3 linked regions of the Drosophila melanogaster genome follow. The protein of the gene in region 1 purifies or fractionates together with the protein of each later gene. This does not show direct contact. Each region holds a gene or a part of one and is shown in the gene's direction. Other genes may lie near its edges.

Evidence for each region.
Region 2: the proteins of CG14715 (region 1) and yip2 purify together in Drosophila melanogaster (affinity purification with mass spectrometry, with the first as the bait; one large-scale study listed by BioGRID). This does not show direct contact.
Region 3: the proteins of CG14715 (region 1) and Nacalpha purify together in Drosophila melanogaster (affinity purification with mass spectrometry, with the first as the bait; one large-scale study listed by BioGRID). This does not show direct contact.

What each region holds. Positions count from the first base shown.
Region 1 is NT_033777.3:11,672,221-11,675,577, forward strand, and holds CG14715 (uncharacterized protein), read left to right. Parts: upstream 1-2,000; 5' UTR 2,001-2,061; coding exon 2,062-2,208; intron 2,209-2,271; coding exon 2,272-2,541; 3' UTR 2,542-2,703; downstream 2,704-3,357. Other genes in the region: CG42327 (uncharacterized protein), read left to right, coding at 357-904, 1,008-1,242; CG18476 (uncharacterized protein), read right to left, coding at 2,735-3,357.
Region 2 is NT_033779.5:9,913,222-9,916,975, forward strand, and holds the start of yip2 (yippee interacting protein 2), read left to right. Parts: upstream 1-2,031; 5' UTR 2,032-2,126; coding exon 2,127-2,145; intron 2,146-2,403; coding exon 2,404-2,570; intron 2,571-2,830; coding exon 2,831-3,754. Other genes in the region: Srp54 (splicing regulatory protein 54), read left to right, coding at 1-1,368.
Region 3 is NT_033778.4:12,759,039-12,762,744, reverse strand, and holds Nacalpha (nascent polypeptide associated complex protein alpha subunit), read left to right. Parts: upstream 1-1,745; 5' UTR 1,746-1,940; exon of another isoform or gene 1,941-1,944; intron 1,945-1,952; exon of another isoform or gene 1,953-2,018; intron 2,019-2,220; exon of another isoform or gene 2,221-2,223; 5' UTR 2,224-2,229; coding exon 2,230-2,883; 3' UTR 2,884-3,052; downstream 3,053-3,706. Other genes in the region: CG12374 (uncharacterized protein), read right to left, coding at 1-160, 223-359, 431-592; Dgkepsilon (diacyl glycerol kinase epsilon), read right to left, coding at 3,227-3,346, 3,402-3,706. UniProt on the Drosophila melanogaster protein: May promote appropriate targeting of ribosome-nascent polypeptide complexes. Required for correct localization of the osk/oskar protein to the posterior pole during embryonic development.

The sequences.
Region 1 (3,357 bases):
CAACTGCATTCAAGCGCGACGTGGACGATGCAGTGCAGCGCATTCATGCGAATCATTTCGAGCGCTCATCGGCATTGCACCTGGCGATAACCTAAGCATGTCGAGATTCAAGCAGCAGAGGTCTGTTGTGCGATTTTATGGTATCGTTTATCTGAGAGGCGCGCGTAGCTGATCGCCAGTCATTGTGTGGGCAGGGGTAGAGTTAAGCCGCAATCGGTTTTAATTGATGGTTATGTCATTACTCAACCTCGCGTCGTCTTTTTGCCGAAAAACGCTAGATAGCTTCAAATTCAAATAATACTAGTATGCTATCCAATGGAAAGACATCATTTTGATACCTTTTTTAATCACTTCAGGGCCCGAGGGATGCACCCAACTACTACATAGCCTGCCAGGCGCCGCTGGAGAGCACGACCAGCGATTTCTGGCGCATGATCTGGGAACAGCAGTCGCGGGTGATCATCCAGGCGACGGATCTCAGTGAGAACGGAATTGAGAGGTGCGCCGAGTACCTGCCACCGTCGGCGACTCTGGACAATCATAGCAGCTATGGCGATTACCAGGTGACCCTCAAGCATCGCGAAGTCAAGGATCGCTATGCCATTTCCACATTGGTTCTGAAGCGAGTGGATGGCGAGGAGAGCCGTGAGCTCACCCACTACTGGTACAAATGGCCTGAGGCGGGTGTACCGGCCGAGGAGGCGCCCATCATCGCCATGCTGCTGGAAGCGCGATCCTCGCTGAAGTCCTACTCCCTTGAGCAGGCCAACGAGCTGCGCGAGAAGTCCGCGACCCTGGAGACGTCAATGGATGCGGACGGCAGCAAAGCCGAGGCGGGCAGCACGTCCAGCCACGAGATTAATGGAAACATCTCAAGTCGAAGCGGAACACGAAGTCAGCAGGGGTAGGTTGACATAATCTCCATCCATTCATATCAAAGCAGTTGTTGTGTGTTGCATGGCTTTTTAATGTTCTGTGTCTTAACTTCTTCATCTCTCCCCCTGCAGACCGCTAACCGTTCACTGTTCTCCAGGCACGGGACGAACCGGTACCATTATAGCGTCGGACATGGCCATCCGCAGTCTGGAAACACCGAAGCGGTCCGTGGACATCCCCCAACTGGTTTACTACGTGCGACGCGGACGTGCCAGCGCCGTACAGACCAAGGAGCAGTATGAATTTATCTACAAGGTGGCCAGCATGTATGCGGCCAAGATCACAAATCTGTCCAATGACAACTGAAAGCCAGATGGCAGTGTTAGCGGCAGAGCCCATCGAGTGGAAACCGAATTTGCGATTGAGTTCACCTTTCACCCTTACAGCACTGATCAATGGGACCCTTTGTAATAATAGTAGCTATGTTTTATACGAAATATTAGTGTAAATTAGTATTATGCTTGAATGTTGGCACCTAATTAAGCGTAGGCTTCGTTGTATGTCGGGCTTTAAATATCATTTAAATTGTATGTATTCCTTTATTATTGTGATATAATCGTACATTCGTATATCTCCTGATAATCTGTTGCATATTTATAATGTCAATTTTTGTTTTTGCACTGTCACGCGCTTCGGGGCCATATAATCCGGAGCAAATGATCATTATTTGGAGCTCTCCTTGTTTTAAGAAAGTCAAATATGTAATCAAACAATGTGTGTATCTATTTTAAATGAGCTTTAATGTACGTAAGTTATTTTTAAGTCCGAGCTGTACTATACTCATATTATTGTAAATTACAAGAAAAAATATGTCCAGCAGTGGTTTTTGAAGTTTTAAATTTCGCGGGCTTCGCATTTAAGTGAGACCTTTTTTGATTGGGTTTTAACTATGAACCGATACTACTGCACTTCTGATCTTTCTCTTATTTACATAAAATTTCTTTTGGTTACTAATTTTTTCAAAGTTAAAAAAAAAAAACAAGTTTTAATCTCTTAATTTCGTTGAAAACTATTTGAGTTGTTATATTTATTTGGTTTTATGTGTGCAGTGGGAACAAGTTAAATTATTGTAGATCTCTGGTCACACTAAACCGCGAGTGTTTTTTGATACTGGCTTTCGATAAGATGAAGTTAACTTATATTTTGTTAATCTGCGCTTTTGTGGCCGCCTCCGCTGCCAGCGATCCGAAAGTGAAGATTGGCATTAAGAAGCGGGTGGAGAACTGCACCCGGAAGGCCAAGGGCGGCGATCTCGTCCACGTGCACTACAGAGTAAGGGAAATCAGATAAGGAAGATCTCTAGCCGACCTAACCCCGAATTTGGAATCATTCTAGGGAGCACTGCAGGATGGAACAGAGTTCGATAGCAGCTACTCCCGCGGCACTCCCTTCTCCTTTACCCTGGGAGCTCGGCAGGTGATCAAGGGCTGGGATCAGGGAATCCTTGGTATGTGTGAGGGTGAGCAGCGAAAGCTGACGATTCCGCCTGAGCTGGGATACGGAGCCAGTGGAGCGGGTGGCGGAAAGATTCCCCCCAATGCGGTGCTCGTCTTCGATACGGAGTTGGTAAAAATCGAACCGCGCTCTGGATCTGAAGAGCTGTAAAGCGAATAGGGCCACAAATAGGCATTCCATGCTACACCCAAAGTTTACTTTCAACTAAAGTCATAAACATTTAATGCTCAAATATTTAAAGTAGTAATTTGTCTTGTTTCTGAAGTGATGCCACGCCACGACCAATAAATAATAATGTCATTCCTTTTATACTAGACCAAATTGTATTTATTGCAAGAGCCCCTTACTTTTGGCGTCTCAGCCACGCTTCCACCTCGTCGAAGTGACGCCGCATCAACCGATGCTTCTCCAGCGTGCTGCTCTGGATGAAGCGCTCGCCACAGGTGCCGCACACGAAAGGACATTCGCCGGTGTGCTGCTGGAGATGAAGCTTCAGGTCCTTGGCCTGACGGTAACTCTTCTCGCAGTAGGTGCATTTGTGCGGCTTTAGGCCGCTGTGCGTAAGCATATGGCGCTTGAGCTTATCGGAGCGGGCAAAGTCCTTGCCACAGACGGTGCAGTGGAATGGCTTCTCGCCGGTGTGCATCCGGCGGTGCGAGGCCAGCTCTGAGTGGCGGGGAAAGGCCATTTCGCACAGATCGCACTTGAAGGGCTTCTCGCCAGTGTGGCGTCGCATATGGGTCACAAGAGCGGCGGCTGATCTCGTCTCCATTCCGCACAGGGAGCAGAGGAAGCGCTTAATTGCCTCCTTGCGCTTGCGGTCGCCGTTAATGTGCACATCGCGAATATGATTGTTCAGGCGCGACTTCATCTGGTACGTGCGATCGCAGTGTGGACACTGTAGCAGCGGTATTCCGTCCTCAGTGGCATCCTTTTCCAGGTCACCGGTCCCTTGCGTGTGTCTGT
Region 2 (3,754 bases), on another chromosome or scaffold:
TACACGGACACGACCAGTGTGCCGGTGGCCCAGCACTTGACCAACACGGTGTTCATCGATCGCGCCCTAATTGTCATACCCGTTCTGGCCATACCCGAGGAGTATCGGGCCCTGGAGATGCTCAAGAACGGAACCATTGTGCCGGGACTCCAGAAGCCGGACTCCAAGCTACCGCCCGAAGTCATTAACCGCATCGAGGGACAGCTGCCGCAGCAAGTGATCAAGACGTACGACCCCAAGTTGGTGGAATTCAATCTGCCGGAGTACCCGGCCTTACCCTCGTTCTACGATGCGCGCAAAATCGAGGAGATTCGGCGCACCATTATCGTGTGCGATGTTAAGAACGAGTGGCGGCTAGACGATCTGATGGAATGCTTTCAGCGCGCTGGGGAGGTGAAGTATGCCCGTTGGGCCGAGAAGGATAACAAGACGTACTGCATGATTGAGTTCTGCGAACAGACCAGCATTATTCACGCCCTGCGCATGCAGGGCCAGGAGTTCAAGGGTGGCCATCTAAGCGTCTACCACTCCACGTATTCCATAACCAAGCCGGAGGCAAAGTCGAATGAGGCAGCGCAGGCTGAGATTGAGGAGGCCATGACCATTGTGAAAGAGGCGCAGAGTATGATCTCAGCGGCCATTGATCCGGTAATTGGAATGCTCGCTAAGGACAAGCGCCGCAGGTCGAGATCACGGTCCCGTTCCCGGGACCGTCGCACCAGTCGATCCCGCTCGCATCGTTCCACATCGAGACGCCGTTCCAGGCGTTCCGGTTCCAGAGAGCGACGTAGTGTGTCCCGATCACGCCGCTCTAGGTCGCGTGGCAAGCACTCGTCCCGTTCTCGCAGCAAGCGCTCAAGATCACGACACCGTCGCAGCTCCTCACGTTCCAGGAGATCACGCTCCCGTGGCGGCAAGCACTCTCGCTCCTCAAGGTCGCGTGGCAAGCGCTCCAGGTCCCGCCATCGCCGCAGCACCTCACGCTCACGTAGCTCGCGTTCCCATGGCACCGGTGGAGGAGGCAGTGGCAACGGCAAACGTTCCCGATCCCGCGAGCGCAGCAAGAAGTCACACCGCAGCGAGAAGCACTCTTCACGTTCTCCCCGATCTAGAAGCAAGCGCAGCTCTCCCTCGCCGCCGCCAGCTACCGGCAGTAAGTCACGGTCCAGTCGCAGCAAGGATCCGGTCATCGTTTCCGCCAAGTCATCCCGGCGGCGCGACCGCTCCCGTACTCCCGAAACTCGCAAACTCAAATCCATCTCTGAGGACACTGAGGTTAAGAGCTCACGATCCAGCGCCGATTCGAAGTCACGCAAATCGGTTAGTGTCGAGAAGTCGGACAACATGGACATCTCCAACTCGCCCTAGACCTAGAGAGATTGCATACTACTTTATAATAAATACAGAACTTAAGCAACCCCGTCTCCAGTACAACCCGACACCCATTGTCCTCAATGAGATTTGTATTTCACTCAACTCTGTCATAGTTTTCAAGTATAAAGTCTAATTAAAACTGAAGCATTTTCTTTCGTAATGAAAAAAATAGTACATACAAATATGAATGATATCGGTATCATAGCAGTACAATTTTTTTTAATTTTTTGCCAAGTACGGATTGTTTATTTGGAAACTATAACAATCTTATTGTCTTCTTATTAGGAAAACCCAATACAAATGCAAGTTAAATTAATAAAAAACTTTCTAATGAAGACCAACTTTAAAACATTGTATGATCAACATTTTGTAAGGAGTACTTAAGTATGCAAAATTGCTTTGATAAATATACATTAAGAACGCATTAAAGAGACTTGTATTTAAAAACTAGAGGATTGATTGAGTTTCATCAAAAATCGAAATTCAGCGATGGTGACTAATCGTCACTAAGAACAAAGGAAGGAACAAACTGCAGCTAATTTTGCACAGTGTATTCTACAGCTGTAATCGGTGGGCTTGTCTCACTTTGTTTGTCAGAGAGCGGGGTAAAGCTTTTCGAGCTTTCATCCAATAATATGTCGGCGATGGCGGCGAATCGCGACCAGAAGTCGAAAGTTATTGCAGTGCGATAGTCGCCTTTACTTGCATTAATTTATTTGTTGTTTTATTTAAGAGTGAACCCACCTTAGAAAATGTCTGCCGCAACCAAAGGTAATTATGTGAATCCTTTAGGATATGCCTATGCTGTTGGAAGTCTAGATAAGAGATGATCTCGCTAGAGAGATCTGAACTTTGGACTCGTTGGTGTCTTATCTGATGCTATCCCCCCCCCCCGCGTCCAGCCGGTTGCACTTTGGACCTGTTGAATCGAAAACAAAAATCCGCCTTCGTTCGAGCTAAATTTGTGCTATCACTACGCACATTATATATGTTATACATATGTTCGTATGTTTCTTCTCCTTTGTAAAGGTATCTATATTGTGGCTGCCAAGCGTACGGCCTTCGGAACCTTCGGTGGATCCTTGAAGGGCATCAACCAGACCCAATTGCAAACCACGGCGGCCAAGGCTGCCCTGGATGCTGCCGGTCTTAAGGGTGAGCAAGTGGACACCGTCATCGTGGGAAATGTGATCGCGGTAAGTTGGATTGAAGATCCTAAAATAGAAACTCTTAAGGCGTCGGATTAAAACAATATTAAGATGTTATTAAACTAAAAGAAATATGTAAATGTGATAAAATACTTGTACATCTGGTTATGTAAATTAATTTACTCGATATTTATTTGTTATTATTGCTTAATTGCAAACTCAGTAGATCAAAAACTGGAACTACATGCTTATATTATGTTTTTTTGTAACTTGTAAGTCTTAAAAATCTCTTCTCTTCCACTTCGCAGTCCTCCTCCACCGATGGTATTTATGTGCCCCGTCATGTGGGTCTCAACTGCGGTGTGCCCATCGAGAAGCCCGCCCTTGGAATCAACCGGCTTTGCGGTTCCGGCTTCCAGTCGATCGTAAACGGAGCCCAGGACATCCTGGTCGGCGGTGCCAAGATAGCCCTTACCGGCGGCGTGGAGAACATGTCACAGAGCCCTTTCATTGCCCGTAATGTGAGATTCGGAACCACCTTGGGTGCCAGCTACAATCTGGAGGATGCTCTATGGGCTGGCCTCACCGATACCTACTGCAAGCTGCCCATGGCTCTGACCGCTGAGAACCTGGCCGATCAGTACAAGATCAGTAGGGAGCGTGTGGATGAGTTCTCTCTGCTCTCGCAAAAGAACTGGGAGAAGGGTCAGAAGGAGGGAGCATTCAATGCCGAGATCACACCCATCAAACTTAAGGTCAAGGGAAAGGAAGTGGACTTTGTGGTGGACGAGCACCCACGTCCCAAGACCACCATCGAGGGTCTGAACAAGCTGCCTTCGCTGTTTAAGAAGAACGGCGTTGTGACTGCCGGAACAGCATCCGGAATCTGTGATGGTGCCTCCGCAGTGATCGTGGCCTCCGAGGAGGCGCTTAAGGAGTACAACCTGAAGCCTCTGGCCCGTCTAGTGGCCTTCTCCTTTGTCGGAGTCAAGCCTGAGATCATGGGCATTGGCCCAGTACCCGCCATTCAGAACGTCCTGAAGGTTTCCGGCAAGAAACTGGAGGATATTGATCTGATTGAGATCAACGAAGCCTTTGCTGCCCAGACATTGGCTTGCGCCGATGCCCTGAAGTTGGATACCTCCAAACTGAATGTGAACGGAGGCGCCATCGCCTTGGGCCATCCTCTGGGTGCCAGTGGCTCTCGCATCACTGGTCATCTGGTTCATGAG
Region 3 (3,706 bases), on another chromosome or scaffold:
CTTGATGTCGCGACCCTCGTAGGACTGTCCAATCACCTTGCACTCCAGGAAATCGTGGGCAGCACACTCCTGATCGATCCAATCGTAAATGGTGTCCAGAGTGTGGTAGGTCTCCCATTCCATCTGGGAATCGTCGCCAACAGAGGATTCATCTATCAATCTGCGAGGATTCAAGTGTAGATTTTTGTAATGTTATAACTCATCTGAGAATCTAGTACTCACTTCTGCAGATCGTCGACAATCACTTCGTAAACAATTTCGAGGAATTTAAGGGTCTTCTCGAGGGCTCTGTGGAACAAGGGACCAACGATCACATTGTATTTGTTTCCAACAGCACCCAGTTCGTTGAGGAAGTGCACCTTTAAATTGGATCAAGTCAAGACATACATATATGATTTTCAGAAATGGAATGGAATTTGTATGTACTTACAGAGATGTGTTCGTGAATCTTCTTAAGCTCCTCCATCTGCAAGTTCGTCTCAATGGTCAGCTGATAGATACGGAAGTGGTCGTACCGGGCGGCCATGCGACCAGGTGCGGACTTGGCCGCCACCATGGCCACAAGGGTTATCAGAAGGATTGGTAGTTTCATTTCGGAGGTTTGGTGTCTTGAACGTTACAGCGTTCACTGTGAGGAGTCCCTTCACAGTCGTGCTTTTTATTAGCTCCAGGAGTGGCCACTCAAACGGAACGTTATCTAATGGCGATAGGGGATCAGTCATCTGGCGTGTGTCTCCTTTGATCTAATCGCCCATCCAACCTACCACAAAGTAGCTCTGGACTTTGTCTTTCGAACCAGACGTGTCTAAAGATGGTTGATACACAAGAAAATTTAATTAAAGTAATTATAAAAAAGATTTAAGATATTTCAACTTGGCCAAATAAACTTATCCCGAAACATGACCTAATTTTTTATGTTGTATTGTTTTCGAAAGACCAGAGTATATGCAAATAACCTAATTAAAATTTAACTAATATTATCAATTTCTTAAGTTCATGTAAAAACTTATATCGAATATCCAAGTTACCTTTACAAATACTAGTATAAATGACAATAAACTGGTATCAAATTTTTCTCGGTGAACTTCCTCTAACAAAGTCAGCGGAGTCAAATTTGTAAGTGAAATCATGCACCGAGTGTGGAGGCACTCGCCTTATCAGGCATGTTCAATTAATTAAATACTCCTCCAGGCGTCTGCACGTGAAGGAGCACTTCGAGAAGCGTTTGTAGAATGCACTGGCAAACTGAAGATCGTCATCTTCAAGTGACAGACTGGGTGGGGAAGAAAAGCCGTCAAACATTCGATTGTGAAACCATTCATTCGTTTAATTTTACTATTTAAGCAGTGCAGTTATTGCTAGTCACTGCAGAAATTAATCATGCCACTGAGCCTAATCTGTGATGTTCCTTTCCTTCCCTTTGAGTAAGCCACTTAAAATGTTGCGGTGTTATCAATTTGTTTTTAATGTTTTTCTTTTATGTAAAATTATAACTGCATTATCAAAAACTAAAATATTACGTTAGTAGAAGATTGCAAGCAAAGGTGACCCAAACAGTGAACTACACCTTTGAAAAAATATTTAACACTTGCTTTGAATAATTACGAAAAAGAACTAGTTTCTTGGGATATTATTGCTTTTTAAGCTACTCCCATAATTGTTTATAGTTCGATTATTTCAGCAAGCCTTGATAGTCAAATTAAATTATAAATTTTTAGTCATAGTGCTTTACTATAGAGGTGAAAGATTAAAAATGTATTTTGAAACTGTCATTTTTTTGAAAGTAACGTAATTATGAAATAGAGTAGCCACAAAGTTTGAATTTGTCATACTTCATACGCATACGTTCACACTGACAGAATATATCGCTTGGATTTAAGAAAAATCGTGCTAAGCGACAGTCACACTCCCCTCCGCCATATTTCTTTTCTTCGTTTCCGGTAGGTGTGTGTACTCCGCATTTTTCGACTTCAATTTAACTTTTGCCGAAATATCAGTGAATTAGCGCCTTAAATTATGTAAAATATCATAGTTAAGAGTTAGATCTACGGGGGTAGCGAATTATTGATTTTCCAATTGAACTTGAAAAATCAATACCAACTGACCCCCGCTGAGACACATCGCTGAGCCTTTGAACCGGCACCAGATGTTTTCCCTTAGCATAATTGATACTATTTGCAAAGCAATTACCTAACCTCGTGTTCTCCACTTGCTTCCCCACAGATTAAAATGCCCGAACTGACCGAAATCAAGAGCGAGGCTGCGCCCTCCACCTCCGCTGAGGCGAAACCCGAGGACGTCCGCGTTGAGGATGATGGCAGTGATAGCGACTCCGATGGTGGCATGCCTGGTCTGGAGGAGGCTGTAGCGGCCACCACACAGCTGGGTGGAGGTGCCACCGGTCTGCCCATCGACCTCGTCTCAAAGGCCAAGCAATCGCGCGGCGAGAAAAAGGCCAGGAAGATCATGCTGAAGCTGGGACTTAAGCAGATCCAGGGCGTCAACCGGGTGACGATCAGGAAGTCGAAGAACATCCTGTTCGTGATCAACAACCCAGATGTGTACAAGAACCCCCACAGCGACACCTACATCGTGTTCGGTGAGGCCAAGATCGAGGATCTGTCGCAACAGGCCCAGGTGGCTGCCGCCGAGAAGTTCAAGGCCCCGGAGGCTGCTGGCGCTGCAGACAGCGTGGGCGCCACCACATCGGTGGCCCCCATTGCCGAGGAAGACGAGGAGGATGTCGATGACACCGGCGTGGATGAGAAGGATATCGAGCTGGTCATCACGCAGGCCAACACGACGAGGGCCAAGGCGATCAAGGCTCTGAAGAACAACAACAATGACATCGTCAACGCCATCATGGAGCTTACTATGCTTTAGAGCGGGCTTCAGCGTTAGCTGCACTCCTGATTTTGTTGTTTACCCGCCTTTCGATAATACTGACCCAAATGTTGTGCATGCCCCTCAAGGGGCAGCATGTTACACCAGTCGAACATTTAATTATATTTCAAAAGATTGCGTCTTAATAAAAATGGATTTATTTCAAATCAAATACGATTGCGTGTATTTTTCGACTAGTTTCGGTTTTCCACTAGGTGGTGTGGGTGTCTTTACTTGCCTTGCTAACCGAATTCGATTAAGTATACATTGAGGTTCCAGGTTAAGTACTTTGAGATTAGGGACTGGCACATAAGGGATTCTATTCTGTATTAGCTATTAATGTTCAGGTTGCAGCCAGCTTGAGGACGCGGGCCTGACTACGCGAGGAGAGGCGAATATCCGCTGGACTCTGCATCCAGGGTTCGCCATCCGCCTGCATTGGCACGGTCTCCTTGACTTGTAGCTAAAAAAAAGATTGTTGGTTAACAAATATTCGGTTCCATCACTGCAGGGCTTACCCTTATTTGCTTGGCTTGGCCAATTCGCACTGGTTTGCTTATATTGCACTGCAGTTGGGCAATGTGGAAAGAGGAAACAATGCCGAACACCTCCATCATACCATCGGAGATGGAGTTTACAATGCGCACTTCACCATTGGCGTTGCTTAGCTCGCAGAGCTTGCAGCCAGCTCCCCATGAGTCGATATTTAGGAACACCAGCGCCTGCAGCTCAGGCAGTTGCACTGGCTTGTTGTCCAGATACAAGGTCAGCTTTTCCTCGATGTGTTCGCAGCCAGGTTGCATCACCTGTTGCGTTCCGAAGG